4 linked regions of the Drosophila melanogaster genome follow. The protein of the gene in region 3 interacts with the protein of the main gene of each other region in a pairwise test. Each region holds a gene or a part of one and is shown on either strand. Other genes may lie near its edges.

Region 1 (7,671 bases), on a different chromosome or scaffold from region 3:
GCTCCTCTTCATCCTGCTCTTCGTCGACACCTTCCTTGAACTTCTTGCCGAAATATCCATCCAAATAGGCCTCGAACTCATCGTCATCTACTTCGCCCTCCTTCAGGTATTCCTCTCCAGCCTCGCCATCATCTCCCTCTTCTGCGGCGTCCTTCTTGATCTCCTTTTGCTTTTTGTTCTGCGCCACAATTTCCGCCTGTCTACGTTTATGCTCCAAGAAGTTGAAGATGAACATCTCGTCCTCGGTACAGTTGGCCTTGGTCAGCGATTTCACTGGTCTTCCTCGCGCTCCGTGAGCCATGTATCGCTTGTGTGCCACGGTAGCATTTTCCGCTGCTTGTGAAGCTTCCAGCTTTTTCGGATTCTTAAAGGCGAAACGTTCCAAAAAGTGGGGCAATCCGAAATCTCTGAGCGGATCACCATAGTAATCAATGCGTGATTCTAAAAAAATCGAAAGGGTTTATAAAAGGCTATGAATAGAAACCTAATGGAATACTCACGCTGAAGAATCTGTTCGGCGAAGACCTGAACGGTGGGATGGTAGTGTTGCCGCAGCAACAACAGTTCATGGCGGAGTGCATATGCAGCTCCTGCAAAAGCGGGCACTCGATGGTACGGATCGTACTTGCAGGAATCAATATCCCGCACCTTGGCCTCTGTGGCAGCCACACGGGCATGATGCCAGGATGATGCACTTGACTTAACATCATTGTCTGCCTTCTCCTCCAATGGATTGGAGTCCTTAGTATCATCCGCCTCATCTTTAACATCCTCGTAGACCTCCTCATCGTCGCTACCGAACTTGTCCAGATCCGCACTGATTGGTAGAACAACTTTGGAACCTTCCTCCACTTCCTCAGAAGCTCCAGTGCCGCCAATTAGCTCACGGCGCATGCGCAGCAACTTGTGGATGACGATTAAACAACCAGCTGCAATGTGCGGTGGAGCGTATAGGGTCAACTGCAGCAGACGCTTCACGAATGCCTGGGCCCTGGCCACATGGTTGTCGATGTGGATGGCACGATGTACAATATGCAGTAGATGAGCCGCCGTTTTGCTACCCACATTAATTAGGTTCAGATCCAGCAGCTTTACATATAAAGCATTATAAAACCGATCCGATTTCTCAGTTTTTACTGCAACCAATTGCAGCAGCAGGCCGAGAGTCTGTACAGCGACCCTAATGTCAGCCAAGTGGACCAATCGGTAGATGGTGTCCTGCATTTCCTTGGTGAGTAATTCCCCATTGCTATCCTTTGCCGGCTTAGCCTCCACGATAGCTTTTTGCAAGCATCGAAGGATGGCCTGCATGGTCCTATTATTTACGGCTCCCTTCTGCACGAGAACCTTGAAGAGGGCAAAGCATATATTGACCAACTTGGTGCAGACTTCGGGCCGGCCAGAGGGTGCGATGCTGGAGAGGAAGCACAGTGCAAAGTGCTGCGCTCGCTCGGAAATATTGTTACGGAAAAGTAGCTTCTCCGCTTCGGCAACAATAACACCGCACATGTTCGGATGTTTCTGGGCCACCTCGCTGAGGTGATGCAACGCCTTGGAGGCAATCTTGGCGATGGGATCGCCCAGTTTGTTTACCAGCATGGTTAGCAGCAGCTGCTCCTTTTCGGGAGCATAGGCCAACAGCCTGGCTGCTGACACAATAGAGGAGTTCTTATTGTGTTCCTGTCCAGTCTGCAGGCCCTGCATAACGTTCTTCAAGAACTCGTGGTACTGATCCTTTAATTCGCTCTCAAAATGCCAGTACGCGTAAATGCGGCGCTTCTGTTCGTTGCGCAAATTCTCATCCTTTTTCAGCTTTTTCCAATCAGCACCACGTGTGTGCACCGCCAGGAGTTTTCTGTTTGGCGGGAGCAGCACCTCCTGCCACAAATCCGTGAGCACTGCAATCACATCATTGCTGGCCTTGTTGGAGATCTTGCAGAAGCCAATTAAAGTGCTCAATGCTTCCAAATTGCCCAGTGGATTGCTCGTCACCAGAAGGGCGCCCGCATTGGCCCGATCCTTTGCAGTACCCTTGTGCAGAGCGGTTTGCAACCAGCGAGCATCCGAGGGATTACCTAAAGATGAGATAAAAACATTAGTAGGGGTTCCAATTTCCGAGTCGAGAAAGTCTTACGTTTATTAAAAGTTATCTTCTCCGCTTCGAAGGAATTCTTGCAGAGATTGTACAGCTCCAGCTGATCGTTCTCCTTCATGTCCAGCACCTCATCGGTGGACGGATAGTCGGGATGCTAAGATACGATAGTGATAACTATAAATGATTTATTTCCACGATTTCAGTTTAGTTTCAACATACCACATGATACCACTTCTTTTGGGACTCCTCGTCTTCATCTATTTTTGACTGATATTTGTTGTGCTTTTTGGAAATGGAGTCCCCCAGTTCCTCATCACTGTCTCCATCGCTGTCGGATACATTTTTTCCAGCTCCATCCTCATCAAACTTGATTCGTTGGGGCTTTTTAAAGTTCTCCTTGGACTCTCCGTCATCTCCAAACTTGATTTTTTGGGACTTCTTGGTCGGTTCCGTCTTTGTGTTGGAAGAATTCGCAGTTACTTCATCTTCTCCATCATCAGTGAACTTGATTTTCTGAGGTTTATTGGCGAAGTCCGACTTTTGACCATTATGTTTATGGTTGTTTTTGTTGAAAGGTTTTTGATGCACTGCTTCTCTATCCTCTCCAAATTTGATTTTCTGTGGTTTTGGTCCATTTTTATGATTTTGGTTGAACGACTTGGAAGCTACTTGTTCTCCATCATCGCCGAACTTTATTCTCTGTGGTTTGTTGGCAAAATCCGGCTTTTGGTGGTTCTTATTAAAGGACTTAGCACCTTTCGCTTTTCCATCCTCTCCAAACTTAATTTTCTGCGGCTTTTTCACCTGTTCCTTCCCTTCAAATTTTGGCCTTTGTGGGTGCTCCTTTTTGTTTTGTTTAACTACCGCCTCGCCGGAGTCGTCGAACACGATTTTCTTGTTTTTGGGCGGTCCACCGAATTGCACACCTGTGGCCACTGCTGCCGGCATGATTTTATATTTTCTAAAGCTATATATTAGATAAAAATCATTAAATAAAATAAACGGCGTTAGAAACAACTCGCACGTGTATTCAAATATGACATTCACCGCGAAACGTAAGCAACATATGTATGTCGTCTACTTAGTGACGAATTTCATTGTCTTTATGATATTAAAATTTTGTATTTAAAATCTTAAATAAGAGAGTATCCAACTTAGTTTTAAAATTTATAAATTATTCAGTAATTACCATTGAAATGACCGTGACTTTTGATAGCAGGTGGGTTTGAAGTTATATAAAGCTTGAAGTTATTATAATCTGATTATAAGTAAGAATAAAATTGAAATTCTTATATAGAATTACTATTAATTTATAAATTATTACATTAACTTATGTTTAAGTAACTGAAGTTGTGCTATATTTTCTTTTACCGTTACACCATTTTTCCACAATACATTTACGGTCTTACTGCCTTGACGCGCTTGGGATTTGTTAGGACGTTTATCGCATAGTCCTCGTGTTCGGTCTCGTATTTTGAAAGAAAATCGCAGATTATCGCCAATTTGAAGCGATTATCCCGGTCTAGATTTCGAAGGGGTCCTTTTGGATAGCGAACATTGCAATGAGCACCGAATCGGCGAAGCCGGCACTCAGCCAGGAGGCCATTGTGGCCCAGTTCCAACAGCTGCGCAATGAGCAGCGCAATTTGGTCAACAGTTTAAATACGCTCGAAATGGATTTGAGGGAACACAAGTGAGTCACCGGGGGCCCAAAGATGGATGACACGTCTGTTTGTGATTTTGGGCAAGTGGGAGAATCCCTGCAGACACAATGACATAACTCCTTATCCTCCCTAGAACTGTGATAGAAACTCTGGAGGCGGCGGATCCCGAACGGAAATGCTTTCGTCAAATTGGTGGTGTGCTGTGCGAAAGGACCGTGAAGGAGGTGCTGCCACAGCTGGTGGAGAACAAGGATTTCATCGCCAAGACCATCCAAATGGTCACCAATGACCTGAGCAAAAAGGGCAGTGAGCTGAACAAGTTCAAGGAGGAGCACAATATCAAGATTCGCGGCGAACACTTGGTTGCCGAAGGAGCCAAGGGCGACGATGCGGAGGACAAGGCGGAGAACCGTAATGTCCTGGTGTTCAACTGAGAGCGATTGATTACCTCACCACACCGTATTTATTGTGTCTATGTTGAGAGGGAACTCTGCCAGGATTTGCGAGCGATAATCCGCGTTTATTGAACACTTCTAATGTTGTATGTACTTCTAGCTGTAAGGCGCAGTTCGCGAAACGCCTCCAATCGCACCTTCACACCAACACTATCCATCAATTCCCCTCATTTAAACTTAACCCACTCTGGCCACGAATTAAAGATACCTTAAACTTCCGATTGAAATTAGTCATGTGTCTTGTGATTCATTCAAGATCTGAAAATGGATGGACCTCTATCCACCGACTGGAAACAAAAACTATATAAACTATATGATTATTTATCCCTTTTATGCCATTTGTTCTGAAACATTTTATTGGTATGTTAGTCAAATTAGTTTCCTATAAGGAAGTGATTTCATCTACATTTTTACACTTATGTATTCTTGCTTCATAAGTCTTTTAATTTAATATTTGTGGCTAAATCAAGTAAGCAGTAGTTTATTTTCCATTCCCCGTATCGTGGTTAATCCGGTTAGTCGGGTATTCGACTTATTCGACTTCTGTAACTATCCCATTTTGCGGCTCCTCCCTCTGGAAGTCCCTTTTTCCGCCGGATTTGCTTAGCAGGCGGACATTTGTGATGCAGATATCGTGAGAAACAGCCTTGCACATGTCGTACACAGTTAAAGCGGCCACTGAAACTGCAGTTAGTGCCTCCATCTCGACTCCAGTTTGGCCCGAGCAGCGAACGGTTGCCTCCAGCCGCACAGATTGTTCGGTTTTCAGAAGAGTGGCCTGCACTTTCACGGAGGACAAGCTGATGTTGTGACACAGGGGTATCAGTTCGGCGGTTCGCTTAGCGCCCATTATGCCAGCAATTTGGGCTACGGTTAGAACATCTCCCTTGGCCACTTGATTGTCGGCTATAAGTTGGGTAAGTTTCTCACCCACCTGAACGGTGGCCTCTGCACGAGCTAATCTTGTGGTCGAAGGTTTTGCGCCCACATCCACCATTTGGGCCTTGCCCTGGCCATCGACATGGGTGAGTTGGCTGTAATTTCGGGCCTGAAGCTGCAGCCTTGAAGTATGATATGCGTGGTGATACGAATAAGGATGAAGATGATGATGGAGTCTTGGCGCAGCATCTGCAACGGGAGAGGGGAGAGAGTGTGGTGTGTCTACTAGCCGCCAATGAGTATCATGGGCCGGTTCTCCATCTGCGACAGGTTCAGCATGCCTGCGAAGGAGTACCAAGTTCTGAAGACTTTCTACGTTTCATTCGGAATCGAAACTCACCTGCATGCTGTTTCTTCTTACGCTGGACGGCTGCTCCAATGAGATCCACCAACTGTTCCTCGCTAACACTCTCATCTCGCATGGCATCTCTCAACGAGAACTCTTTGTTGCCAAACAAGCACACCTTTATGTTTCCATCCGCAGTGAGTCGCAATCTATTGCAGGTACCACAAAAGTGTTCCGTCATGGAGGTGATGAAACCGACCTGACCCTTAAATCCCGGAACTGCATAGGCTTTAGAAGTGTCATTAGGTCCATTGGGAAGGGCCTTGAAGTCTGGCCACCTTTGTCGAATGATTTGCAGGGTATCTTTATACGAAATGAGCCTCTCTGTATGCCACTTGTTTCCGGAGAATGGCATGTACTCTATGAACCGCACATCTACCGGACGATTCCTGGTGAACTCAACAAAATCACAGATTTCATCCTCGTTGAAATCCCGCATAAGGACGCAGTTCACCTTGGGGCGATAGCCCAATTGGACAGCTAAATCAATGCCGGCTATCACCCGCTCCCATCCTTTTCGCCTGGTGATCTTCTCAAAGCGATCCCTTTTCAGCGTATCCAGACTGATGTTCAGGTTATCTAGTCCAGCTCTCTGGAGCGGCAACAGCAGGCGTGTCAGCACCAGGCCATTGGTGGTAATTCCGATTTGCTCCAGTTCGGGTAGTGCTTTCATTTGTGCCACTATCTCTACGATATCCCTGCGCACAGTTGGCTCTCCGCCGGTCAAGCGGATCTTTCGCACTCCCTGCTCCACGAAAATTCGAGCTAGACGAAGGATTTCCTCGGTGGTCAGGAGTTTGTTTTTCGGCTGTAGCGGAACGCCTTCAGCGGGCATGCAGTAGTCGCCTGAAAATATGACCACATTATAGTTATAATAGAATTTTCCAATTGGAATTTAATAAAAGTTAACTGAAGAGTATCATGGAAGTTTCTCGAATTCAAGTTAAGAACATTAAATTATCTAATATCAATGGGGGGTTTGCTATCTATCAGTAATCGAAATCAGAAACGTTGTTAATGTCGCCAAAATTATCTGATTATAATAGCAGCTACAAATGAAATTAGACCATCTGCTCTAATTTGTCAACAATTGGCTGATATGGTTGGACTCCATAACTATTATGTTGACCGCAGTTGTGCGTGTGTAAGACACGAATTTCGCCACATTATTCAATCAAGGCTGGGATCCACTTCACTGCGAGTATTATCAAATAGGTAAAACAATAACAGGGCAAACTGATAAGGGTCGAAAACATAGGTGGTTGGTTTACTTACATCGCAGATTGCAGCGTTCGGTTAGAGAAATTCTCAAATAGGTGTGATGCCGGCCAAAGGAGTCCGTGAGTGGCGAATTCTGGTTAAATTTTCGATTAGCGAAATCGATACGGAAACTTTGTGCCCACCAAATGGAGTACTCACCTTTCTCAGCACCTGTTTCTCCGGCTCCAATGGCTGAACACTTGCCGTGGCCAGATTGAGGTAACCGGTTGTGGCCTTCAGCCGGATTGCTCCTCTCGAAAGTGAAGCCACCTCGCCCGCGCTATTCTCCTGACCCAGCAATCGAATCGCGTGTCTGGCCAATAGCCGCATGTTTTTTTGTTATTTGTATTTTGATTGATGTTCTCTCAGCTAAAACGAATACAATTGGCTTACGTAAGCCGGCAATTTGCGGGGGGTGGCACGAGTTGTTGGGGGATCTGTTGTCGCTGGAGCGATTTCGGACAGTCAGACTGTGATAAGCAATTACATATGCTGACGGCGGTCCTATGTCCTACGAATTGATATCGCCGATTACGCGCTCTCCGTTTCCAACTGCAGCCGGCGAGCGTTGTTTATAAACTAAATTGAGAGTGACGATCATATGGACGAGCTGCCAGCGCAGCTTTCGCCAAAGCTTTTGTTCTAGTGCCAGTGTTAGGCAGCATTTGAAATTTTTTGCCGGTTGATTGATTGTATGGGGGGGGGGGAGCCACCAGGGGGTTGACGCTTCAGAGCTTTGACCTGCAAAAAACCTAGCAGAAATGAAGATGCAGTGACAGCAGTTTACTTATAAGTGAATGGAGTTTAATTTCATTTATTTTAGTACAGTATACAATAAATGATTAATATTTGCTATACAGATGTAATGCCTTGCAAAGAGTTACAAGTGTTATAAACATTCAAGCATCTAAA
Region 2 (9,000 bases), about 13 Mb from region 3:
ATTACCCCAAAGAAATCCCTTGGTGTGAGATCCCAGTCAGGGACCTTACCCACTACCCCACTGTCCCAATCCCCACATGAAACGATGTCGCGCCTCCATTTCATTACAATTACCATCACGTTCCGGCGATCCACTGGACGCGACTACTCCGCAAATGCGGGCTGATGATCATAAATCAGTTGATCGTAGATTAATATACACGTACGCACATGTAGCGGGCTTAAAGTGCTTAAAATAATTAACAGCTTGTGGTTAGATGTAACTTTCGCTGATTTTATTTTAATGGCTAATACTGCTGACAACAATGCGAGTTCAGACGGTCGAATCGTTAACCCCAAAGGGCGGAATATGGAGTACGGGGCAGGAAGCGACTGCCTCCAGGACCGATGTATGGATCGGGATTTATAACTCTTCGAATGTCCGAGTAAGTGCGTCCTTTGCGGTTTCCAGAAGGCTTGCGTCCTCCTTTGGAGTATGAGTAAGAGGAGTGGCCTGAGTAAGCTGGGTAAGAGTAGGAATTATATGCGGGATAGTTGTAACCATATCCTCCAGCATAGCTTCCATAGCCGTAGTTTCCCTGACCGTAGCCTCCATAGTCTTGTACTCCACTATATCCAGTATATCCTTTTCCCGTCTTCCAGGACTTGAAGAACAGAGCGCCACTCGAATCCAGGCAGCACGCAATCAGCAATGTTAGGATAGTCAATCGGGAATCGCGGGATCTCATCTTGCTTCGATTTCGAATCACTTCCAGTTCTGACAGTTCATCTACGCAGTTCCCTCTATTTATACCCTTGTGGATTGGAGTTGGGCACATTGTGATGGTGACACATTGTGGTCTAGCTCATTTCAATTCTTTTTTTTTACGACTTCTTATTCCCATAAACACAGTCGGAATCTCTGGAAGATTAGCGTGGCCAATGGGCAAGCGACTTAATGCATTATGCTGGATTTATTATAGCACGCGGATTGGCACGATCAGCATGCGGAGCACGCTTCATCCGCTGGAAGACTGAGCTATCGCAGATGGTAGATGGTCAGTATACAACGGACATCTCATACCCCAACCATTATATAAACTTCCATATAAATACACACTGCTGAGATCGTATGAGTGTACTTCAAATAAGAATTTGAATTAATTAAAATATAACACTAACATACAGAGATCTGTAAAGACTGGACGGATACTACTAGTAAGTCCCTTCCATTTATTCCTCTATTATGGATTTTTCATCACTTGAAGTATCTCTTTCATCGCCTGTATCTCTTATTCTTTTATACTTCAATCTGTATACTACATACTATATATGTATCTCAATTTTTGTTTTCAAGCTTCAGGTGTTTGTTTACTTTTCGTCTGATTATTATTATGATCATCTCTCTGAGACCTATTTTGGAGAGCGGTTAAGATCTCTCTGGTTGCGGACACTGATTTTCATCATGCTCTCACTGATCGCCGGACAGGTTTTCAATGTTTAATCAAGCATCAACGATTATCGCATAGGCGGAGCGTAAAAGTTCCCCCTCAGTTAGAGTCCGCCTTTTGTGGTGATCACTGCTCGAACACCCGAACATGACGCGATCTTCGCCAGCTTGGTGTGCTGGCCAGGCCTGGCTCGTCTGGCTTTTGGCATCCATCTGGATACGCACGTGTCTCGCGCAATTTGCAGTCTCCTCGTCCTCCGCCGGCGGAGCTGTTGCCTCCGCCGGTGGCGTCACTGTGGTGGCCCAGCTGCCCGGTTTCGGAGTTATCAATGGACTGATCAATGCCATGCACAACAACAACCGCTTCAACCAGCAGCCGCAGTTCGAGAGACTGCAGCAAGGAAGGCCGGGGATGGGTCCGAATCGAGGAGGAATGCACAGACCAGGATTTGCACCACCCAACCGTCAGCAACCGACGCCTCCTGGCTGGCCACCCGGCTGGCAGTGGGGAGCCGGTGGAAATCAGAATCAACCCGGATTTGACTGGGTTCAAACAGGATTTGCACCAGGCTGGAATGGAGGTGGAGGGCAAGGACCAGGATGGAATGGTCCAGGATGGAACGGAGGCGGTGGAAGAGGACCTCCACCAAGACCAGGTTTTAACGGCGGCGGACCACCGCCGCCAAGACCAGGATGGAACGGCGGCGGGCCACCACCACCGATGCCAGGCTGGAATGGAGGAGGGCCACCGCCACCAAGGCCAGGATGGAATGGCGGAGGACCTCCGCCACCAAGGCCAGGCTGGAATGGAGGGATGGAACAGGAATGGGATAACTATCCACGCCTCCCCGATCAGCCGGATCCCAATGATCCAAACACGAATTGGAATCCAGATAATGAGTCTAGCACCACTCCACAAACGCCAATACCAGGACCCATCTTTCCAACGACAACACCTAAGCCAGAGCCCACCTTTCCCACGATCCAGCCACGTCCAACCGCTCAGCCAACGAAGGATACGCTCATAATAGGAACCAATCGACCGCCGTTGGTGCCGCCCCATAATCCGGATCCACCCACGCCCACTTTTCCCACTTGGATCGTGCCGGAGCCATTGCCAAAACCATTGGACGAACTCTCCGAAAATCGTGCTATTATATTCCCCAGCTCTAGCAAATATATCCATGTGCCAAACCCGGAGGTTCCCTCAATTCCCATTGATGTGAGACGAAGATGAATCTTCTAAGAGGGAGTTCCCCGATTCACACTTGTTGTATATATATTCGTAGACCATTGTTCAATTGCTCCACCCGAGATCGTCTTTGTCATAAGTTCAAAACAGGTTCTAAAAGCTCGTTGGAAATAAACGAAATTTTAATAAATTACACATAAACAAATGAGACAGCACATGATTGGATGAGACTGGGGTATCTGACGGATGAACGTTAGTAACCCCGCTGCTTGTAACCACCTCCACCTCCGTAAAGATCCTGATTCTTGTGCGGATAATGGACACTGGCAGGATGAGACGGCTGAGAGTAGTATCCAGGCGAAGGACGCACTGACCAAGGTGGTGGATAGTAGTCATTTGCTGCCGGAACCGGTCGTGGTGGGTAATAGGCATAGCCACCTGGATGCGTCTGCTGGTGGCTACCACCGTAGCCGTAGCCTCCACCATAGTGATAGTCGTAGCCCTGCTCGTAGCCCTCCTGGATGAGTGGACCTGGTCCAGGATGTAGCTGTGGATCAACTGGCCTTGCTGGCGGATAATGATTTGGGTCGCCGAACAGAAGCTCCGCAATCTTATCGAAAGTGGGTCTACCGTGGGCCAAGCTGGCCAGGATTAGCACTAGAATCGCAGCCAACAACTGCATCTTGGGATATGTAGAGCAATTTTGCTGATAGTCCCAATGTCCATGCGGCTTTTATAGCCAGCAGCAGCACATGGCGATAAGAAAGATGAATGGAATCGAGTGGAAGAACCTTGGGTAATGGAACAAATGCTATATGTACATATGTACTTATAATACTAATCTATTGACTGGTAAACAAGGTTGACTGGGAAAGCTTTCGTTCTCTATATAAAGGGAGGATCATAACTCATGATCATCATCTATGCAAAGATGAGTTATGAATTGCTTGGGAAATCCCTAAACCAAAAATGCGTCTCAACTTATCTATTACTTGGCTTTAGGCCGCAAATTTATACATTGCAAGAAATTTATATATAACATTTATATTTATAAATTTGTATATGGGTATTTCTTTAAAAAATTCATTTATTTGTTCAAATTTATGGCTAGTATCTATGCATATGCACATTGTTGTGTTATATTTTCAACTTTTGCTTTCAGTGTAGACTCTCTCATTCAATTTACTAGAAAGAACACTCAATGAGACTTAAACTACATATCTGGGCATTGAGCCCCTGATGATAACCCCAAAAATAGACACTCAGCTAAGCTCTCGTGTCATCAGATCTCACCATGAAATACACGCGCCGTGAGCTTCTGGGCTTTAGTGTACCCAAAGACGCCATGTTAAGCAGGAGGGTCATCGCATTCGCCGCTCTGGCCCTCATCCAGATAGCCAGCGGTCAGGCCTCGCAATTCAGCAGGGACGAAAGTCAGGAGGATCAGAAGACGGAGTTTAACCTGGCCTCCACTCTGACGGGAGGCATTACCAGCAGTCGCCATCGCCAGCGGGCCAATCTCAATTCGCAACTTTATCCTGGCCTTGGTCAGCTGGGATCGGGTTATGCGGGCGCAACTGGATCCATCGACGATGCCCATGGCCATGAGCAGGGTGGCTCTGGCGTACGAGTGGCCAGTACGAACTCCGTTGTTTTTCCTGGCAACCAGTCACCAAATCCGGCACTCACAATTACAGGAGGTCACCAGATTCCCGCTTATCCGCCTCCGGGTTTTCCTGGACAACAGGCTCCAGTTCCGTACCCAGCTGCAGGAGGCTCTTCAGGAGGATCCTCATCATCCGGTGGTTACCAAAGTGCAGGTAGGTCCTTCTAATAGGTGGTTCATTTATCTTAGTGAAATCAGAAAACTAATATCAAGTCTTAACTCCCAAAAAAGTTATACAAAATTTAAAAGATTGGTGAATAGCAAATCCACATTTTGAAATATATATGAAATTATGATATTAATGAAATGTCCCCTTTTTAGGTGCTGTTTCTCCTCCTGGCTATCCTGTTGCTGGAGCAGTTCCTGCTCAGTATCCGGTGGGAGTTCCTCCCCAGCAGCCAGTGGGTGCAGGAGCACCTGGTTACTTCCCGGGAACTGGTGCCTATCCTGGCTATCCCTACCCCGGAGTATACTTGCCACAGTACCCAGCGTACCCTCAACCAGCCCAGTTCCCCGCCTATGGAGTGCTACCCGGAGCTGTGGCTCAACCAGGAGTTCCTGGAGTAGCTGGAGTTCCGGGAGCACCTGGAGTGGCAGGAGTGCCCGGAGCAGCTGGTCAGGCTCCTGCCACCAGCGGCATGAACTATCATCGCTATCCGGCTCACAATCCCGCTGATCCGAGCCATTGGGACCATCATTTCTCGATGAACACCGAGTACAAGGAGGATGGCGTCCACAAGGGACCATTTGGAGTGCTGAACAATCACAATGCCTTTGGCTATGGCAGTGGATATGGGGGCGGATACAACGGTGCCTTCAACTCGCCGGCCTACTGAAGCTGGCCGACATCATGGGTGGACCTCGGTGGTGGTGGTAGTGGTAATGGTGTTGGTGGGGCGTGAAGTAATCCGAGTCGTAGTCATAACTTCGCTGCTGCCTCCTTGGCCAGAGGCAGCTGTCTTTGCCTATCATCCTGTGTGTCCCTGCGAAATAAACTTGATTTCTGCACACCCAACCAAGATAATTAGCAATGCTGGCCAGTTACCAGTTGCACCTTGAACCGGAAAAAATAAAGCACATGCACTCGGCATTCTGCTCCCATACAGACAGCTAACCCAAGACATTCACATCCCATCCTTATTCTTTTCCTTATTCTTATGGCAATGCCGCTTCTTTTATCCGGCGTGGACACAATCGAAGACGACAGGAGCTACCTGGCTGGCAGGCAGCCGAAAAAAAGGGAACGCACAAAGGCAGGACTCTGGGCGAGCCAAAGGTGGTGGTAGAAAATCAGCGTCAGAGAGAGACGCTGTTACTGGTATTGGTACTCCTGGTGCCCTTCGCTGGACCCAACTGCAGCGACATAAATCGGCTGGGTTTCGCTGTGCAGCGGAAAAGAGAGGGCCGAAGGAAAGGAAAGGAACCCAACCAAGGGACGACGTCTTGATGTCTTGCGGCGCATGCGCAGCCTGCCGCGCAAATCCTTAACAAATTTTTGGCGCTAAAATGACGGACGAGCGCGCCAAAAGCAAGGAACCGCAGGAAACTCGAGAGAATCATGCCCGGGGTATACAGACTACGAGTATACAGACAGACACTTACACTCATGGATTATGAATGATTTGGACGGACGGTATCGGTGGTTTTTACCTGTAGCAAATCGAACCGATTCCAGCCAGGGTTTGATGTCCTTAGGTCATCAGCCATCAGCTGTTCTATGATGAGCGCGGAGAAAGGAGCACAGATTCAGCTGAGAGGATTCGAAACAAAGGAATTAGAATGGGTGGGGTAATGGGTATACTCACGGCAAAGAAGTCTAGATGTGCTAAACGTTTTCCCTTAACCTTTGACATCTAGGAGTTTATGCTCTGTTTCTAACAATTAAAGATTGAACTGCAACAAATACATACATTCCAGATTCTAGGAAATTGAAAATAATGCCCTAAATTATTTAATCCCCTAGGAACTAGGATCATTTCCAACATGCTGGATAAAGACAGCTAATTTAAAATACTTATTTAAAGTAAACATAAACACTAATGATACTACAATTGCATTCAACTAGTTATATCTGAGTTAATACTCACCCGATTTTGAAACTTCCATCAGGTTTTTAAAAGAGTTTTCTAGAAAGAAAAATAAAAATACGAATTTATTGCACTTACCCTATTAAAAGTAAGAATTTTTTCACTTCGCCCACCGTTTTCCGAATGTAATGATGGTAAAAAGATTGAAGTATTTTTGAACGGACGTAAAAATGTTTATTGGTATTCTCTCGCAAAACGATACATACATAACACTGAGTACATACATAACTAGTTACTTCAACAATGCAACGTTATCAACCATCCATGGATAAACGAGGTGAACTGAGGCAGGGCGGGGCGGGGCGGTATGATCAGGAACTGGGAAGTTGATGGTGAGCGTCCTTCGAGGGGCGGGAATGTGAGCGCAAGGAGGGGAGTCCATGAACGACTTAACAAATAACAGCATTAATAACGACGACAGGAACAGATGCACATGGCGTACATGGCGTGCACGGGACGAGGGTTGATCGCAGCGCATTTCCAGGTTGTACGGGACACACGTGCCTTTCATAGTCGCTTCGTATCCTTGCGTTTGTGTATCTGTGTAGAATAAGTTAGTGGGGATCCGTGTCTGCTTTGGTGGCTTACGAGTTAGGTTTATTTAATGCTGGCATCTCTTAAGACTAACGTACATATTAAAACATGAATCGTTTTGGGATTTTTTGGGTGGGGGTGCTAAAGATAATGTCGCCTTTCGAGTTTAGATTGATTGTGTTCGGCTACGTATGCGGTATGTGGGAAAATTAAACAATAATACATGGCAAAAAGAAACAAAAGCACTCTTAACATAATATTTATGCAAAAAACATGTCAATAATGCGAAGGTCACAATAATAATTAAAATATAATAAATTGCGAGGACTTGACGGGAACACTAGGTAAGGGGTAAAATCAGGGGTTTTTAGATTAAGGCGGGGATCCGCTGTTTCGTCGGGATGGGGCTAATATTGGGAATAGAAGCGTCTTAGAGCCTAAGTGAAGCGTATCGTATCATGTTGAATTTGGCTAAACTTTGAGGCTGTCCTACGACAGATTGCTTTCGTTCAGGTCAAGGTTGCCCTGGAAGAGCTCCTGGTTCGTCAGCAGCGGCACCTTGGCCACCTCGTGGAATATTTTGTGCGAGTACTTGTTCCGTATCGTCTTGATGGTGGCCCGTGGCTTGCGATGCAGTCCTGCATTGAGCGCGGTCACAATTTCAGCAAAGTCCGCCAATTGATAGCCGGTGTAGTAGATAAGCGTCGATGTCCACGTCTGCTTGTCCAGCTGCCCCGGACCGCCGTGCATACGCAGTGCCATGAACAGTGCGGCCGAAGCCATCTGCGAGTCACTGAACGAAATATTGGCGTAATCCATGAGCGACAATTCCAGGATGTATCGAGCCAGGGTCAGCGTGGGCATAGGCACCTTGGCGCATCGGGCATAGCGGCGCAGGAAACGGTACGAGAGCGGGATGCCCAGATCGTACTTGATAACGCGCAGCGTCTCCCGCTCCATTCGCACCAGCTCGTCGTGATTATAAGCACCATCGCAGATATACAAAAAATCCTCTATAAGCGGCGGCTGTCGCTCATCGTACTTGCAGGCAATAAAGAAGGCAGCGGCGCCCAGAAGTTGCAGCTTCTCTTTGTTGATCACCTCGCGGCAGAGATACAGATCGACGATCTTAACCGCTAGGTACAGAGTCTCGTGGTTCAGCTCGAACGTTTCCTGCACCTCCACCATCCAGTCGACCAACAGGGTGCGCATCCAGGTGGTCAGATGGATCTGCCTGGGCATATAGTCGGCAATGGGGAATTCCGCTTCGCGCACTTTGAGGTAGTTGAATATATCCATGGCGTAGTGGGACACCTGGAAGGGATCGTCCCAGTTCTTGCGGTCGAAGTCCTCTACTTCCTCGGGCACTGGCGGAATGGGCACCACCTGGCTTGGAGCAGTCTCTGGGAGTGTCAGCAACAGCGGCTGTGGCTGCTGCTCAGTCTTTTGCTGCAACTTGGCGGAGCGACGTCGCGCCGCCTCAAAGTTTCCAGACAGCCGCATGGAGTCGCAACTGGAGACATCCTCCAGCGCGGACATGTACAGGCTGTCCTCAGTCTTGTTGAAGTCATTGGAGATCCGACGAACTGGCTTGACGGCGGCAACCTGGGGAGCAGCCAGATTGTGCGTGGGCGGCAGTAAAACGGGAATCTGCATAGGATTTGGCATGGCCGGTAGCTGAACCTCCCCCAAAACGGTCTTTTTTGCGGCAGGCACTGCCTTGGGGCGCGGTTTGGGCCTGGCCAACGCCTCTTCCAGCTTATCGAGCACTTTGTGGCAGTTCTCCACCGAATCCTCCACTTTACTGGAGGCGCGCGTAGTCATCTTACTGGCGCCAAAGACATTTACGCTGAGATTCTCCTGTTTCTTAGCATCCATCAGGGCCTGCAGCTGCTGGGCCGTTGGCTTTTTGCCCACGCCCGACTGCTCCTCATCCTGTGCCGGATGCAGTGTCATGATCTTAACATTGTTGGTCAGGTTACCCAGCGCCGAGCGCTTGATTTTGTCATTTTTAATTGGACTGTGGTCGGCCTTGCGTTTGGCGCGCGTCTGCATATTCTCCACATTCGGATCGATGTTTCCCGTGGCAGCCG
Region 3 (8,021 bases):
ATTGATTATGTGACACACAACACACCTTCCACACACTCACACACACACAGATACTCCATGTATATAAGTATGTATATTCCTTTGAGCTGAACATTGTATAACCGAACGATTACGATACCACAAACAAACACAGCGACACAACGACCTTAGCCATCAGAATACAAGGACACACCGAGGTGTGTAAAGGGTTCTTTGCTTACAACTTTTCAAACGAATTAAACCGTTTCGGCCAACCTTTAGGATTGACAAAAGATCGACTTGAGGAACACAGCCCCGCCCACTCTGCTCCGAAATTCAATGAGCGGGGGGGCGGGAGAATGCATCGTTTCGGTTGATGGATGCAAACGATCAAAAATGTATTGGCCCCCCCAAGGGCCAAGTGAAACCAAATCGAGCCAAGAAATTGATTTATGTTCAATTAAGCAAGCAAAAACAACATGCGAACATTTGAAAATTGTGAAATATAGAAAAATGAAAACTTTCAGTTAAAAGACAACAATAGACCGGAATGATTTCCAAGCAATAGTACAAACAACTTTAGAGATAACTTTTATAATGTAATTGTAAGCTAAGTGGTGGAAGAAGAGCTCCGGAAAATGCAAAAATGCGGGGATAAATGCCAAACTCTAGTAATCCTCGAAAATCCGGAGCTATATGAGTAATAAATGGGAAAAAAAACCCCGCGTACGCATATACGATTTACCCTAATTTATACTAAGTTGAGATTTAAACACACATTGATTTCAAATTTGATTAGTGCGAAGTAAGCGAAATTGAAGGCCAGCACAAGACGTTGACATTTTCGAAATTCCAACTTGACATACTACCGCAGGACCTTCTCTTCCGCAGAAGCTGAAGGCCAAGTAAAACGATTGAATCAAGTCACTTCACACACACAGTTTAAATTTATAAGAATATGTACTAACAATAGGAAACGTATCCCAATTTTCCAATTTCCCGATTTACCAACACCCAATCCCCTGTATCCCCTTGCCCCACAAAAAAACTCACACATTACTATTTACCACAATACGAAAAGAAAGCAAAGTAATGAAAAGAAAACCAAAAGTAATGGAAAAATAAAATCAAGCAAAGCAAACATATATGAATGTAATACGCGGTGGAAACATACAAAGTTGGGAAACGAGAAAATTTCACAATCGACTATGTCGCGTATACACTTACGATAGTACGATATACTAACTTTATATGATTAACTAACTCATTTCGAATGAACCATAGCGATATATGTATAAGCCACGTTTTGGTTTCGGTTTCGATTTCGGTTCCGTTTTATAAACTTTGGTTTGGTTTACACTTTTGGAAACTTCGGAAACGCATTTCAGGCCAACAAATTGAAAATAAACTTAGACTTTTGGACCAGTTTTGTTCCCGCTAAATCGGATAAATCGATCAAAATTGTACATTTAGCGCAAACGAAAAATTGCAATTAAATGATTAAAAGTCCCGAAAAACGGAAAATCGAAATTTGGATTTACATTTAGAGAATGCATTTAGCGCAAAGCAAAAGCAATCGACACCACACCACACGACACCATCACCACACAAAAATGAATGAAAATATGTATGAGGTAAATTCAGTATTTCGGATATAAGCGAATATAATAACATACAAATTTATATTTATGCAAGCGACAAAATCGATAGACATCGTACTAAAAATGTGTAATGGAATGGAAATTGTAAAACAAGAGGAAAACACTAAACTACAATATGACATTTTTAATCGAAAAAAAACAAAACTTATTTTATTGAAAAATTATGTAAAATTTACTAAGAAAAAAATACAAAAAAACACACAATAAAACTATATTGTTTATTTTCATCTTTAAAAATAAAGTTTTAAAATCGTATAAAAATAGTAAATGCATTGTTTTATCTTGGCAAAGTGAGTGGTAAGTACTGAAACAATATGGGAATATGAATAGCAGGCCTAAAATGTTGAAAAGTAGAAAATCTGAGAAAGATTTCGTTGTGCAACATGTCGTATGCGTAATTTGTATGGATATTTTGAAAATAACGTACTCAGATATTCGGCGGTATTTTTTCAGTATTTCCATATTTGCCGTCCTGTTTTCTACATTTTACATTGGACTTATCGATTTTCCAATTAGACTGGTCAATCGAGATAGGTCCATCGCTAGGACATTGAACAGCAACAAAAACAGCTGTTCGTACATTACGCAAAGGTTTTTTCCACATTTGTTTATTAAAAATGTCGCTGCTGGGCGCCTTTGCCAGGTAAGTGAATGCACCTGGTCCCTGGTCACACAATCACTCACTCCCCACCTGCCTTCTGTCTCAGATTGAGTCTGCAGAGAAGTGGCGGCGTCGCCGGTGCCGCCTTTGCACGTTGCCTCCACACGACACCAGTTCTTTGTGCGGAGCCCCTGAAGAAAAAGAAGAAACTGGATCCGCAGATTGTCAAGCAGCGCGAGGATCGCAAGAAGAAGAAGATCGAAAAGCAGATTCGCCGGCTGGAGAAGAATGCCCGTCAGCTGAAGCCCGTGGATGAACTGGAGGTTCCACTGGAGCTCATCGACGAAAAGGAGTAGGTTCTCATACGGGTTTCCCTCATATGCTGAGATGTAATGCTATCCTATCGTTCAGCAAACGGCAGCGGAAGCTAGCTCCACTGACCATCGACCAGTTGGAGGAACGTGCTCTCCTCAAGAAGCAGTGGGCGCACTACAAGCACGACGAGCGCGTAGCAGACTTTCAGATCATCGACCGGCTGGTCCAGGCGCAAAACAAGGCGCTGGCGGAACTTCGGCGCGAGTCCGAGGAGCTCTACCAGGCGGCCATCGATATCGATCCCCAGCTGCTGCCCGTCGCCGTCAAAGGACCCGTTGCCACGCCCCCCATTAAGGATTACGTCAGTCCCGATGGCGACTACCTGCACCAATCCATGAAGTGGGAGGTCAAATGAGGCGTGTAAGTTCCGGATGTTAAAGATTTGAAATAAACTGAACCCTAATCCTATGATTTGTGAATTCGGCTTTACTCTCAATGAATTGCGTTCGCCGTTTATTCGGTTTACATGCAGTTAAATGCCCGTAGCCAAATTAAAATATTACATTCCTCCGGAATAGGCATCTCGTTTGGAGTCAGCTTGATGCGTTTGTGTGGCGGTTTTATTGCTATCAGTGGAGAACAAGAATAAGCCAGGTGGAATCGCCTGCCGAGCCCTTGCGGTGTACTGTCGAAATAAATAAGATGCGAGTGGCTGCTACCGATGTTGATCTTGGGATGGGATTTGGGTGGGTCTCCTTAGGATGGGGTAGTGGCGGTGGTCTTGGTAGCGGCCTGCCGCTTTTTCACGCCCCAGTTGTAGACCCGCGCCATGTTCACCTCCGTAGTTGTGATTTGATCCCTAAAATATACATTTATAATACAATAAAACAAGTAACTTGAATAACAGCACTCGAACTGACCTCAGAAAATCCTGATCGTGCTCCACGGACTTTAGGTTGCCCACGGCCGATGTGATGTTCTGGTTCAGCAGAGCCTCCGCCTCGTCTAGCGGATACTCCAGCATCACGCTGGCCCCCAGCCAGAGGTATACTGTTTTCGTGGGCGGCACCAGTGTCTTGATGAACACCTGGTCGCTGAGCAGGAATTGCGTCTCGCGCTCCTCGTCCTCCTTGCGAAGCACATTGACCATTTCCAGGGAGCGCTCCAGGTCCGGAATTTGAGACTTCAACTTGCGCCGCCGCGCCTCCAGATTGCAGGCCATGAATCGATACTTGCCGTGCTGCTCGTCCAGTCGCTGCAGCACCTTTTCGCAATTTTCGTTCTCCGGCTGCGACATGAAGGTGTCGATCTCCTCCTGCAAGGGCCCAAGAACCACGAATTAGCCTGCAGTGTCCAGCTGCAGGTGCACGCTTGTAGGTTAGGACCACTCACCAGGAACACTGCCTCCGGGATGCCGGCGAAGGTCTTCTGGTTTTCCGGTAATTTGGGCATTTCCACCGAGTCCATTATTCCTGTCATCCTGTTGCCTTCAGCCGTGCCGTCTACAAATGCAATTTAATTTTCAGGAGGTCAGCCTGCCGCTGTAAAAGTCGATGAGTCAAAATTGCGATGGAACAATCGATTGAATGGCTGTCATCGAAAGGTGGTGGTCAACTTCGTATAAAAATGTAAAACTAACTTATATTAAAATAATTATATAAATAAACGTTGGGATAATATAATATGTTAAAAACATTAAATAATGTCTAAATAAATTTAAATATATATCAATTCTCTTCGTGACTCTCATCCCTAGCTCAATCGATAACAACAGCGACGATAAGCGCGCCCGCCTTCTTGTGAAATTAGCGGAAAGTCAGATTTTTAGCAATCTAAAGAAGCCGCATAATGAGCACCTGGAATCCGGAGAACGATGTGGACCTGCTGTCTGGGTCCGAGGACGAGGAGGATGTGTCCATGAAGCGGGACTACCATGGGCGCGAGGCCATTCTGTTCGTGGTAGACGCCAATCTTCAGACAGCCGGCGTGGAGCGCCTGTTGGAGGCACTGAACATCATCCGGACGGCCTTTATATCCGGACTTCTGGTTAACGACAAGGACCTCATCGGACTCATCTTCGCCAACACCAAGCACAGTCCGCCGCCGCTGGAAGCCAGTGCATTGGACAACATCGTAATGCCGGATAACTGCGCAGTGTTCTTGCCCCTTCGCCAACTAACCAAACCCATTGTGGAGCACTATCTGGAATTCATGGGCGGGGTGGAGACGCAGTTCGCCGATGTGTATGGCCTGGCGGAACCCGATGGTCGCGGCAGGTTTGACCTTATGATCCGGCTCTGCATCGAGATGCTGGAAAAGTGCGGCAAGAAGCTAAACAACGCCAAGATCGCCTATGTCACGGACGTCAGGGAACCTCATCCATCGAACAGCAATCACTTCCAGGCTGCCCTGCAAAAGGCCAGCGATCTGGAGGGCAAGGAGTTCGAGTTTCATGTCATTCCCATGGTCGATGACTTTGACTACGAGCCGTTTTACAAGGAGTTCATCACGTTGTCAAGAGGTAAGTCCTTTAAGTCTGCTATTCATTTCTTATGGGTTTTAATGTGCGAAGTCTGTTCCCCTGTTTGGCGTTCAATTTTCGCCTGAAAGGTTTTAAGACTTCGTAGATCAAATATAAGCAATCATTCACCCGCATCCAAGTGAAGCTCAATTGGTTCGTGGTTTTGGATTGGCTTACAAGAATAATAAAATAAATATATAGCAATCCGTACACTAGATGATGTTTAATGAGGACCTTTTTTGCAGCTATCGAACTGGACGCCTTCCAGGTGCCAGATGCCCAGATGCTGCGCGAAATCCTGTCCGATCGTAAGTTGAAGCAGGATTTCCTTCGCCGATGCCTGGGCCACTTCAGTTTTTATCTGGGCCCCAACCTATCCATGTCCGTACAGTACTACAATTACTTTCAGCGACGCGCCTATCCGCGCAAAGTGCAAATCCTGCGCAGGGACAACAGTGTGGTGCGTACTAAGCGAGTGATTACGGTGCAAAAACAAAAGGACGATGGCTCGCAGGATATCGAGCACGAGTATCAGATTAAGGTGACGGGCGGTTGGTACACTTGCAACGTGGGCGAAAGGGATCTGCGCATCAGCATGGATCAGTTGAACAGGGTGCGCAATCTGCACAAGCCGCAAATGATGCTGCTGGGCTTCAAGCATCGATCCTCTCTTCCCGAAGTTAGCTACATCAAGCCAGCGAATTTCATGTACCCCGATGATCAGAGCATCATCGGATCGAAGCGCTTGTTCCGCGCATTGTGGGAACGATGCTTGGTGCGCGACAAGATTGCCATTTGCCTGTTCATGTGCAAGCGCAAGTCGATACCTCGCTATGTGGCACTTGTGCCAGTAGAGGCCCCAGATAATGGGGAAGATAAGAACTATCGCTCTCTGCTCTGCGGTGACGGATTCAAGATTGTCTACTTGCCGGAGGCCAAGCACATCCGCCACCTAGACTTGCAGGACTGGAACAATACGGAAAACACTGCTGACGAACAGAAAGTCGAGTTTTTCCAAAAGATCATCAAGAAGCTGCGCGTTGACTATCAGCCGAATCTCATCAACGATCCAAGTCTGGACGCCCTGCAGGCGAATCTTCTGGCCCTCTCCCTGGACTTTTCGACAGATACTAAAGGACTCGATAATCTGCTGGACACTTCGCAACAGGACAAGCGCATAGAAAAGCTGCTGCCGGACTATGAAATGTTCGCTCCGGAAGCAGAACCCCATAAGAAGCGAGCAGCCAAGTCCACCACAGCGGGAGCGAGCGGTCCCAAAATGGCCAAGATCGATGATGATCAACTCAAGGAATTCGAATTCGTAAAGAGCCTGAACAAGGATGAGGCTCTGACGAGTTGCACGGCCGCCCAGTTGCATTTTATTCTGCAGCATCACTTCGATGTTACAATGCCCAAGTCGTCAAAGAAGGCAAAACTGGTCGCCAAAATCGAGGAACTACATAAGTAATTAAAATATTCCATACTTTGAGTGATAAATCTGTACCAATCTAGCTTGTATTAACCATTGGTAAACTTAGGATTAGAAAATAATGTTTTGTTGTCCGAATTGTTAATTAAATACATACCAACACATAATTACTTGTAAAATAAATTATTAAAATGTTGTTTTAAAAAAAATGTATATTCCATTACACAATAACAGAAAAGAAAAAAACGTAAAAATTGTACTGAGCAGGCTTAACATAGTAGTCAAGAATCCTTTTTAAAAATCGATTACTATCCAATCGTAAGTTTGTCATCACTAGTTTCGCACGAAGCAGTCTTGCAAAACGCCCGTTGACTACATGTGATAGCGCCGCGCCGGCTTCTTTTGTGCGAATTTGGGCATTACGAATTAATTTATTTCGAACCACGGCCGAAGAATGTCGCTGCAATTCCAAAACGACTGCGGGGACTCCGTTAAGCAAGCCATCATCGAGGAGCTGCAGAACCTACTTAGCTCGGACACAGGAGTCCTGCAGCAGACAGAAAAGAGGATCAAGCAGCTGGAGTACACGGAAGGTGATTTGGCGGGCAGCTGGATTGGCGTGGCTTGGGCGCGGTTCACATGTAGCCCTATTTTAACCATCTCATTCATTTGCAGGCTATGGCGTCTACCTGTCCGAGATCATTATGAACCAGGCGCACGAGCTGCCACTCCGTCAAATCGCGATCGTGATGCTCACTCGTTACGTGGAGAACCACTGGACGGATGACGATGATGTTAAAAGGAAAGCCAACGGTTGTATGGCCAGCGAGCAGGCCAAGCGAACCATACGAAACATTCTGCCAAACGGACTGTATGATCCCAATTCAAAGATACGCTCCTCAGTCGCGCATACCATCTCCACCATAGCCGCCACGGATTACCCACATTGTTGGGCGGAGCTGTTCGACATCATTGTCAAATGCCTGGGCGGCAATGAGGATTCCATACACGGTGCCATGCAGGTGCTGCAGGATTTCAGCTACGACGTGGAGCAAATCAAGGAACTGGGTCCAGTAGTCATACCCGAAGTCTATCGCATCTTCGACTCCGAGCAAAATTACTCGATCAAAACAAGAGTTTCGGCCATTCGCATCTTGAAGCCACTTTTTGCATCCATTGCTGCACTGATCACCAACAAAGAAGAGCAGAGCACCATGATGAGCTCCATTTTGACAAACTTTATGGACAAGCTTATGCATTACCTGAGCATGAATAGCGGCGCCGTTTCCAGTTTCCTGCTTCGCACGGAAATTATCAAGGGTGGGTTTCATTTCGTCTTTGCTGGAAAGTAAACTAAACTTGATCTCACTTTAGTGTTTACCCATTTGGTCAATGAGATGCCAAAGTACATCAACCCCTTTATGGACCGTGTTCTGCCCATTGTCTGGCAGCTACTCACACAAATAGCCGAGACTTACGTGAAGGTGTCGGTGAATCAGACTGAGACAAGTCCGCTGGCCAGCGGCGACAGCGAGG
Region 4 (7,767 bases), about 11 Mb from region 3:
CCACGCAACGGGCGACTAGCAGCAGCACCAGCACGAGCAGCAGTACAACTTCGACGACCACGACAACGACCACCACTCAAGCCACACCGCCACCGGAGATCCGGAGTACGGTCACCGAGCGGGAAACCACGCCCTATGATATTTATATAGCTGGTGGCGGCATGGGTGGGTCCGGGCGAAATGATCACGATCGCATGCAGCTGCCGGACGAGCACCACCCACTGCCACCGTTGCCGCCACCCATTCCGCCGCAAGATCCACCTCCGTACGGACCTTATGGCGGCAACACGTACAACACCAACATGAACAACTACCGTCCAAAGGGTAAGGGCGGCAGAATTAACTCGATCGAGGAGGAGCGTACCGCCATGATAATCGGCATAGTGGCGGGCATACTGATCGCAGTGGTGCTGGTCATCCTGCTGGTCCTGTGGCTCAAGTCGAATGGCGATCGTGGCTACAAGACGGAGAGCGAGAAGGCGGCCGCCTACGGTTCCCACAATCCGAATGCTGCACTCCTGGGAAATACTAGCACCAATGGATCGTACCACCAGCAGCGGCAGCACCATATGCATGGTGGCGGAGGCGGTGGAGGTGCAGGGCAACAGCAGCATCATGCCCAACAGCAGATGCACAATGGGCACAATGGTAATGGAAATGGAGGAGGCGGCGGCGGTGGCGGCATGATGTCCAGCGGAAGTGGGTCACTTGGCTATGGCAGCGATGGGCGACCCCAGATGGCGGGCCTGGTGCAGCCGAAGGCCAAGAAACGCGACTCCAAGGACGTCAAGGAGTGGTATGTGTAAGGCGGCATGGTCGCAGGGAAATATCGTCAAATTAGCAATTAATAGTGCAAAGTGAGCCGAAAGTGAAAGTGAAAGTAAAAGTCCCCCTAAGATACGAGAAACAAAAAAAAAAAAAAACACACACATAAGCGTATATAAATATATTTATTTAGCAGCCTCGTAACGTTAATTAAACAATTAGAAGCGGACGCAGTCGGACATTGGGTGTACAAACGGAAACGGAAGTGGACGGAAGGATAATAATATGTAGATGGCGCCTTGCGCAGCTCGGTAGGTGGGCATCACGCGATTCACGATGGCTGATAACGTTAGCAGCAAGCAGATAGAGCAGATAGCCGGTAGCAGATAACCGATAGCAGATAGCAGATAGACACGCAAATACTTTAGACAAGTGCATCTGGCCAGGAGCATTGGTTCACAGCAAAGGTAACGTTTAGATTACGCCTAAGAAATTATAGCTTCAACTCAAGACTTGCTAATAGATACCACTACCACTGGAGAGCAGCCACAACCATCAGCGAATAAGCAAATTACACTAAACGTATAAAACTATATATATTATATATATCACAGCGTTACGATAAATTATGCCACTAGCCAATCAAGTAATTGTGTAAAATATTTCGCCACAAAGTATGCTATGAAAAGATCGAAGGAAGACGGCCCAAAACCGAAAGCAAAACTAATTAAACTGCAAATCTTCTAGCGAAACCACTAAACAATTTAGCAGAAATTCAATATAAACGTACTTAAATATATATATTTATATGTAAACGTAAAGTAATGAGGTTCTGAGTGGGTTTTTTCTTCGCGTGTAAAGTTACAAAATGTGGTGCTGTAAACGTAGGAGACAAACTTTGGTTGACTACAATAATAGTAATAATAATAATAATGATGACGGGGAATGCAAGAATTTATGCTACAGATTGTTTGTTGAATTGAAACCGGCTTTAATTAGTTAAAATGTAAATGAGATAGTGGTAAACCTAAAGGATAACGAAACGAAATCAAACACGATAATACGGAGGAAACAGTAGAAACCCACGATTTGGTTGACATATACGTGATGCGACTTTTTCGTTTGCGTGCAGCAACTCGATGCTACTTTGAGTTAGTCCCTTCCACTCCCGAGCCCCACACATATACTTTTTATATGTATTTGAGACTAAATATTGTCACCGATCTGCGTGCAATATGAACTCAGACATATCAAGGAAAAGACAAGACACACACACTAGCACACTTACACACGAAACACTCTAACACACACGCAAAATTCGAAGACACTGAAGCGAACCTACCTAGCTTTTCTACAACAACTGCTATTCAATGTGAGCGAACATTACTTTACCGTCGACTAATGAGGAAATCAAGCAACAATTTTACAGTATTATAGCAGCTTTAAGCGTATTTTTCGAAGCCCACGTGACGTATACACAATCAGCAGTCACCAGCACACTCACAGCTTACACCCACATACTATTACACAAGCACACATACATAGACGCGAAATTCGATATTCAGCAAGCCGCCATTAAATTCTGTATACATATTAATAATCGCATATATCATTTTGATGCGCTATATTAAAATTTTTGTCTCACTATCAATACCAATTAGTGTATCATTTTGGATTAGATATACAAAATACCTATATACACTCGATATACTACTACTAATACACGCACACTCACCTCACTCACACAATCACCAACTCACGCATTCGATCACTAGCGAAATTACTGGACATACTTCTCTCGAATTCTTAATGGAAACCAAGGCAAGGTATGCTGTAAATACCTAGGAAAGTACTATATATACATGAATATATATATATATATTTAACAACTAAAAAACATATATATACTGCATTTCAAGAAACTTTTGATATATTTTCGAGTTTTTTAAACCCTTATCTTGTATACAAAAAGGAAGCGAAAGCGAAAACACGAGACAAACTAGCGAATCTAGCTGAAATGAACACCTAGGACAATTACAATTACAAGTACATAGCGAAACACAGTACATACAGTACATACAGTACAGTACAGTACATAAACACAACTATATATACAGGACATACACGCATACATTCAAACTATACTATTTATAAATGTACATCTATACAAAATATACATACATGCATACCATATAACGTACGAGTATGTTTAACGATCAATGATTATTATTACGAATTACGTCCCTTCGATTTGATAATGAAACCAAACGAAAAGAAACCACAAATTTTAACGCTGTTGATAACCAAAACCATTCCCACTTATAAATGTAACACTCTCTCCCGACAACTTTCTCTCTATCTCTTCACAATGTTAATGCTGCACAATGAAAACTCTGCATTTAAAGTAAACCACTAACGTTTATTCGTTTCGATTCAAGAGAAAACCAAATTATATATAACTAATTATACAAATTTGCCTTGCGATTTAACAGCGAGCACACGATATTGAATCCAAAATCCAGATGGGGAGCTTAAAATATCCGCGATTAAGAAATCGAATCGACACGCCCTCAAAAGCAAGATCTTCTTCATTGTTTCAAAACGAATTACATTTTATTAAGATCAAAACCAAATCAAGGTAAATGTTATGTATGTATGATATAGTGGGAGGATCGCGAAGGACGAGTACAGTTAGTTGTATGGGTAAAATAACATAGTTAAAGCATATAACTTAATAGTTCAAGGATCGGAGGAGCAGCGATTGCGAGTGGGAGCGCATATAGAGGGGAACGATCGCAAGTATCGGAACTAAAACTTACTTCTACTTAGGCTTAAAATCATTGTTATCTAATCTATACATATATAAAAACCGACATACAACACCCCACATATAACAGAGAATATGTATATGAACATGTATTGGATGCGCGGCGCTTGAGCTGTGCCTACTTATATATATATAAATATATATATATTTAACAAATTGTAACGTGTATATGTAGCGGCAGTGATTGTTAAAGAAATTGCTTTGTTTTGTGTTAGATTTTATAATTTACGAGAAAACCAAAAACAAAAATTGTAAAACGCATACAAATACAGAATGACTGACAAAACACAGAATTATAACATTGCATATAATAAATACAATAAAACTATAATTGAAAAACAAGTTTGGTTAATGCTTTTTTGCTGAGTAAGATCTGTCTTTAAACTCAAAAGATATTGTAGATTCAGAAGTCACTGATTTTTTTTTTAAATTTTTACTTCGCGCTTAGTACTCGATAACAAATCGTCGGCGGGACTGGACTACCGACTATTTCAACGAATCATTCGATTCCCGATTGCTTCCGTGAAATCGATATTTTCTGACCCAGCTTCATGACATCCCTGTTGAGTTGAATACGCAAAGGTGGCAACCTTATACGGCGACTGAATAAAATAAAAGTGGAATTGTAAATTATAAGTGTAAGCACTAGCAATGGCTGCCACCCCAAGCGCACCCGCCAAGTCCGAGATGATCGACCTGACCAAGTTGAGTCCGGAACAGCTGATTCAGATCAAGCAGGAGTTCGAGCAGGTGCGTTCCGCATGTGGGTGTGTGATGAGTCAAGTGTGCTCGCGGAGGGGGTTTCTGGAGGAGGGGCGCCCCAATTGGCACATGCTTCTAAAATCGGTACATTTTTGTGATCCTTAGGAGATTACCAACGTACAGGACTCGCTGTCGACGCTTCACGGCTGTCAAGCCAAGTACGCCGGATCCAAGGAGGCGCTGGGAACCTTTCAACCCAATTGGGAGAACCGTCAGATCCTGGTGCCCCTGACCAGCAGTATGTATGTGCCAGGACGGGTCAAGGATCTCAACAGGTTCGTCATAGACATCGGCACCGGCTACTACATTGAAAAGGTGATTTACATTTCCAATCGAACCTAGAATATTTATTGATTGCCATCTGTTTCTCAAACAGGATCTGGAAGGCTCCAAAGACTACTTCAAGCGACGCGTGGAGTACGTGCAGGAGCAGATCGAGAAAATCGAAAAGATCCACCTGCAAAAGACGCGCTTCTATAACTCAGTGATGAGTGTGCTGGAGATGAAGCAGGCTGCTGCAGCGAAATTGCAGTCGCAGCAGCAATCGCAGCCGGCGGTTACCCAGAGCTCCTAGACTACGGAGAACGACAGAGACACGAGACACGGAAAGCATTAAATTATTAAACTTATTAACGAGATGTGTGCATTTAATTAACGTAGTTTATTAAATTGTTCAGCTATTTCTTGGCTTCTGCCAAAGCCTTGGTGAGAACCTTGACCTTCTGCTCGTACGCGGACTTAAGATCCTGTAGGGAAAGAAGGTAATAGTATATCAAGTATATCATTGGACTCGAGTTATAAGGCACCTTGAATATCTGTGACTGGGTGTCGTACTCCGAACGCAGCTTGTCATACACTCCTTTGGAGATGGCTAGTTTCTTCTCCGTGAGCACACACTTGTCTTGCTCCGCCTTGATCCACTGCTGGCTCTTCTCCAGACGAGCCTGCGTGTGATCACATTCGGCGGTCTTTAGCTGCAACATGTCCTTGGTCACCTGCAGCACATCCTTAATCGAGTCTACTTGTGTCCTAAGCACTGATATCTGCTGCTCCTGCTGTTTGTTCACCTTGGTCTTCTCGAACAGCAGGGTTTTGGCCTTTAGAAGCAGCTCCTCCTGCTCTTGTCGTGATTTGGGAGCATCTGTGCCGCCCAGCATGACGGACTGCTTGAGCGACTGCTCCAACTGGACCACTCTCCGCTTTAAACGCTCATTTTCCGCCTTGGCTTCCTGCAATCAGGGTCAGTAAGTGGGTGCAGCCCGTGGAGACGAGTAACTAACCTCAAAGTCTTTGCGGAGCGCTCCGATCCGTTTGCGAGACTCCTCTAGTAGTGCCTGTTTTTCGCTTTCCAACGTGAAAACCATGTCCAGCAGTTCGTTCTGCGGCTGCTCCGGCTGACGCACTTCCTCCTGCCCATTTGCTGTTATATTGTTGTTTAGGTCACCGCCAACAGCTTCATCTTCGTTATGATCGGCCATTTTATGAAGAATTCTTTTTAAATGATAAAAATTCGTAGAGCAATGTGCGTTTTCCGTGCTTTTTGGGATGTGTTTTCTTTTTGTATTAATAGACCAAATAGATGCACGCTCTATTTATAGGACATCCCACTCTCCGGATCGCTCTCTGCCTGCTCTTGGCCAGATCGCTCTCCCGAAATAACAAACTGTTTCCCTCCAATTTAGTTTACGCCTCAGCATATTCTGAAGATCAGTTTATTATACATTGAAGCATGGATGAGAAAGGATTGCGGATGTGCGGTGTTAATACAGATCGCGAAGGGCAACACAATTAAATTGTTGTTACAATCAATGGGGCGACAATTGAAAGTGAGTGATTTGATTAAAATTAAATGCCTAAACAAGATAGAAGAAATGTGCTTCGCTCGCGGTGAAGAATGTCTAACCGTCCAGCTCGCCGGCAGCGCATGCATCGGCGTAACTCTTGCCGCTCTTGTCCTCCGGATTCAGCTTGATCATGTCGTCAATACGCAAAATGGTAATGGCGGCCTCCGTGGCGAACTTCAGCGACTTGATCTTGGACATGGCGGGCTCCAAAACTCCAGCCTTCTTGTTGTCCCTTACCACTCCCTCGATCAGATCCAGACCGGTCCACTTAAGATCCGAACGCTCGGGCTTCGTCTGGCTGGAGTTGTGGTAGGAGCGGAGCTTGGCCACTAGATCAGTGGCATCCTTGGCCGCGTTCACGGACAGAGTCTTGGGAATGACCAGCAGCGACTTTGCGAATTCGGCAATGGCCAGCTGTTCGCGGGAAGCCAGCGAGGTGGCAAAGTTCTCCAGGTAGATCGACAAAGCAGCCTCCACACAGCCGCCGCCGGCTACAACCTTCTTGCTCTCCAGCACACGCTTCACCACGCACAGAGCGTCGTGGACGGAGCGCTCCATCTCATCACAGTAGAAGTCATTGGGACCACGCAAGATAATGGATGCGGCAGCACTAAAAAGGCATAGGGATACGATAAAGCAAACTATGTTACTGCATGATATAATCTGCACTTACCGTGCCTTAGTGCCCTTGATGAGGATAAGTTCATCATCGCAGATGCGCTCCTGGGCCACCTCTGCGGCCTCTCCCACCATTGAGGCATCGAAGCTCTCCTCACCGTCCATGTTGGTCAGCGAGGTAATAAAGGCGGCGCCGGTAGCCTTAGCAATGATCTTCAGATCGCTCTTCTTCACACGACGCACAGCCATGGCTCCAGCCTCAACGAAGTACTTCATGCACAAATCATCAACGCCGCCGCTAACCAGTACTACATTGACACCGGTTCCGAGGATCATGTTGATGCGCTCCTTGGTAATGTCCAGCTCACGGGCACGAATAGCCTCCAGCTTGTCGGGATCATTGATCAAGACCTGGACACCCATCTTCATCTTGGTCTTCTGCAGCGAGAAGTCTAGGCAGGCAATCTTGGCGTTCACAATCTTCTTGGGCATCTGCTGGGAGGCAATTGTGCAGTTCAAGGCATAGCCGGGAATCAGCACCGATTCCCTGGCAGACTTGCCATGGGCCTTCAGGACATTGATGGCTTTAATCGAATAGGCTGCCTGCCCACGGGGATCTGTGATTTTCACCGACTGGGCAGCGTCCACAACCATGGCTGAGAAGAACTCTGCGTCAGCACCAATGATCTTGGAGCTCATCGAGGTCTTGGCAATGTTAATCAGGGAATCGCGGCCCAGCTCATCAACGGGAGCGGTCAGATGCTCCGAGATGTACTTGCAGGCCTCCTTGCAGGCAATGCGGTAGCCGGAGATTATGGAGGTAGGATGAATCTTCTGCTTGACCAGCTCGTCGGCGTTTTTCAGCAGCTCAGCGGCCAGGATAACCACCGAGGTAGTGCCATCGCCGACCTCCTCGTCCTGCAGCTGAGCCAGCTCAACCAGGACCCTTAA

Evidence for each region.
Region 1: the proteins of mgr (region 3) and Pfdn2 interact in binary tests that used the Drosophila melanogaster proteins (3 or more experiments, as listed by UniProt).
Region 2: the proteins of mgr (region 3) and Elal interact in a two-hybrid assay, tested with the Drosophila melanogaster proteins (2 studies listed by BioGRID).
Region 4: the proteins of mgr (region 3) and Pfdn5 interact in binary tests that used the Drosophila melanogaster proteins (3 or more experiments, as listed by UniProt).

Annotation. Positions count from the first base shown.
Region 1 is NT_037436.4:11,070,233-11,077,903, reverse strand, and holds Pfdn2 (prefoldin 2), read left to right. Parts: upstream 1-3,515; 5' UTR 3,516-3,657; coding exon 3,658-3,788; intron 3,789-3,892; coding exon 3,893-4,193; 3' UTR 4,194-4,612; downstream 4,613-7,671. Other genes in the region: Noc1 (nucleolar complex protein 1), read right to left, coding at 1-441, 501-2,075, 2,135-2,249, 2,315-3,043; Mocs1 (molybdenum cofactor synthesis 1), read right to left, coding at 4,747-5,342, 5,494-6,345, 6,775-6,853, 6,919-7,089. UniProt on the Drosophila melanogaster protein: Binds specifically to cytosolic chaperonin (c-CPN) and transfers target proteins to it. Binds to nascent polypeptide chain and promotes folding in an environment in which there are many competing pathways for nonnative proteins.
Region 2 is NT_033777.3:24,861,405-24,870,404, forward strand, and holds Elal (Elastin-like), read left to right. Parts: upstream 1-3,945; 5' UTR 3,946-3,965; coding exon 3,966-4,440; intron 4,441-4,607; coding exon 4,608-5,122; 3' UTR 5,123-6,247; downstream 6,248-9,000. Other genes in the region: CG13640 (uncharacterized protein), read right to left, coding at 329-727; CG7016 (uncharacterized protein), read left to right, coding at 1,577-2,665; Srg1 (Sting-regulated gene 1), read right to left, coding at 2,874-3,302; CycB3 (cyclin B3), read right to left, coding at 7,397-9,000.
Region 3 is NT_033777.3:11,405,755-11,413,775, forward strand, and holds mgr (merry-go-round), read right to left. Parts: upstream 4,122-8,021; 5' UTR 4,015-4,121; coding exon 3,928-4,014; intron 3,851-3,927; coding exon 3,456-3,850; intron 3,395-3,455; coding exon 3,292-3,394; 3' UTR 3,038-3,291; downstream 1-3,037. Other genes in the region: mRpL40 (mitochondrial ribosomal protein L40), read left to right, coding at 2,237-2,262, 2,327-2,572, 2,632-2,950; Irbp (inverted repeat-binding protein), read left to right, coding at 4,384-5,056, 5,302-6,524; Ipo9 (importin 9), read left to right, coding at 6,940-7,078, 7,161-7,805, 7,860-8,021. UniProt on the Drosophila melanogaster protein: Binds specifically to cytosolic chaperonin (c-CPN) and transfers target proteins to it. Binds to nascent polypeptide chain and promotes folding in an environment in which there are many competing pathways for nonnative proteins.
Region 4 is NT_033777.3:22,483,051-22,490,817, forward strand, and holds Pfdn5 (prefoldin 5), read left to right. Parts: upstream 1-3,988; 5' UTR 3,989-4,243; coding exon 4,244-4,342; intron 4,343-4,459; coding exon 4,460-4,669; intron 4,670-4,730; coding exon 4,731-4,928; 3' UTR 4,929-5,031; downstream 5,032-7,767. Other genes in the region: Nrx-1 (neurexin 1), read left to right, coding at 1-806; CG5376 (uncharacterized protein), read right to left, coding at 5,032-5,100, 5,161-5,583, 5,635-5,832; CCT1 (chaperonin containing TCP1 subunit 1), read right to left, coding at 6,253-6,808, 6,872-7,762. UniProt on the Drosophila melanogaster protein: Binds specifically to cytosolic chaperonin (c-CPN) and transfers target proteins to it. Binds to nascent polypeptide chain and promotes folding in an environment in which there are many competing pathways for nonnative proteins.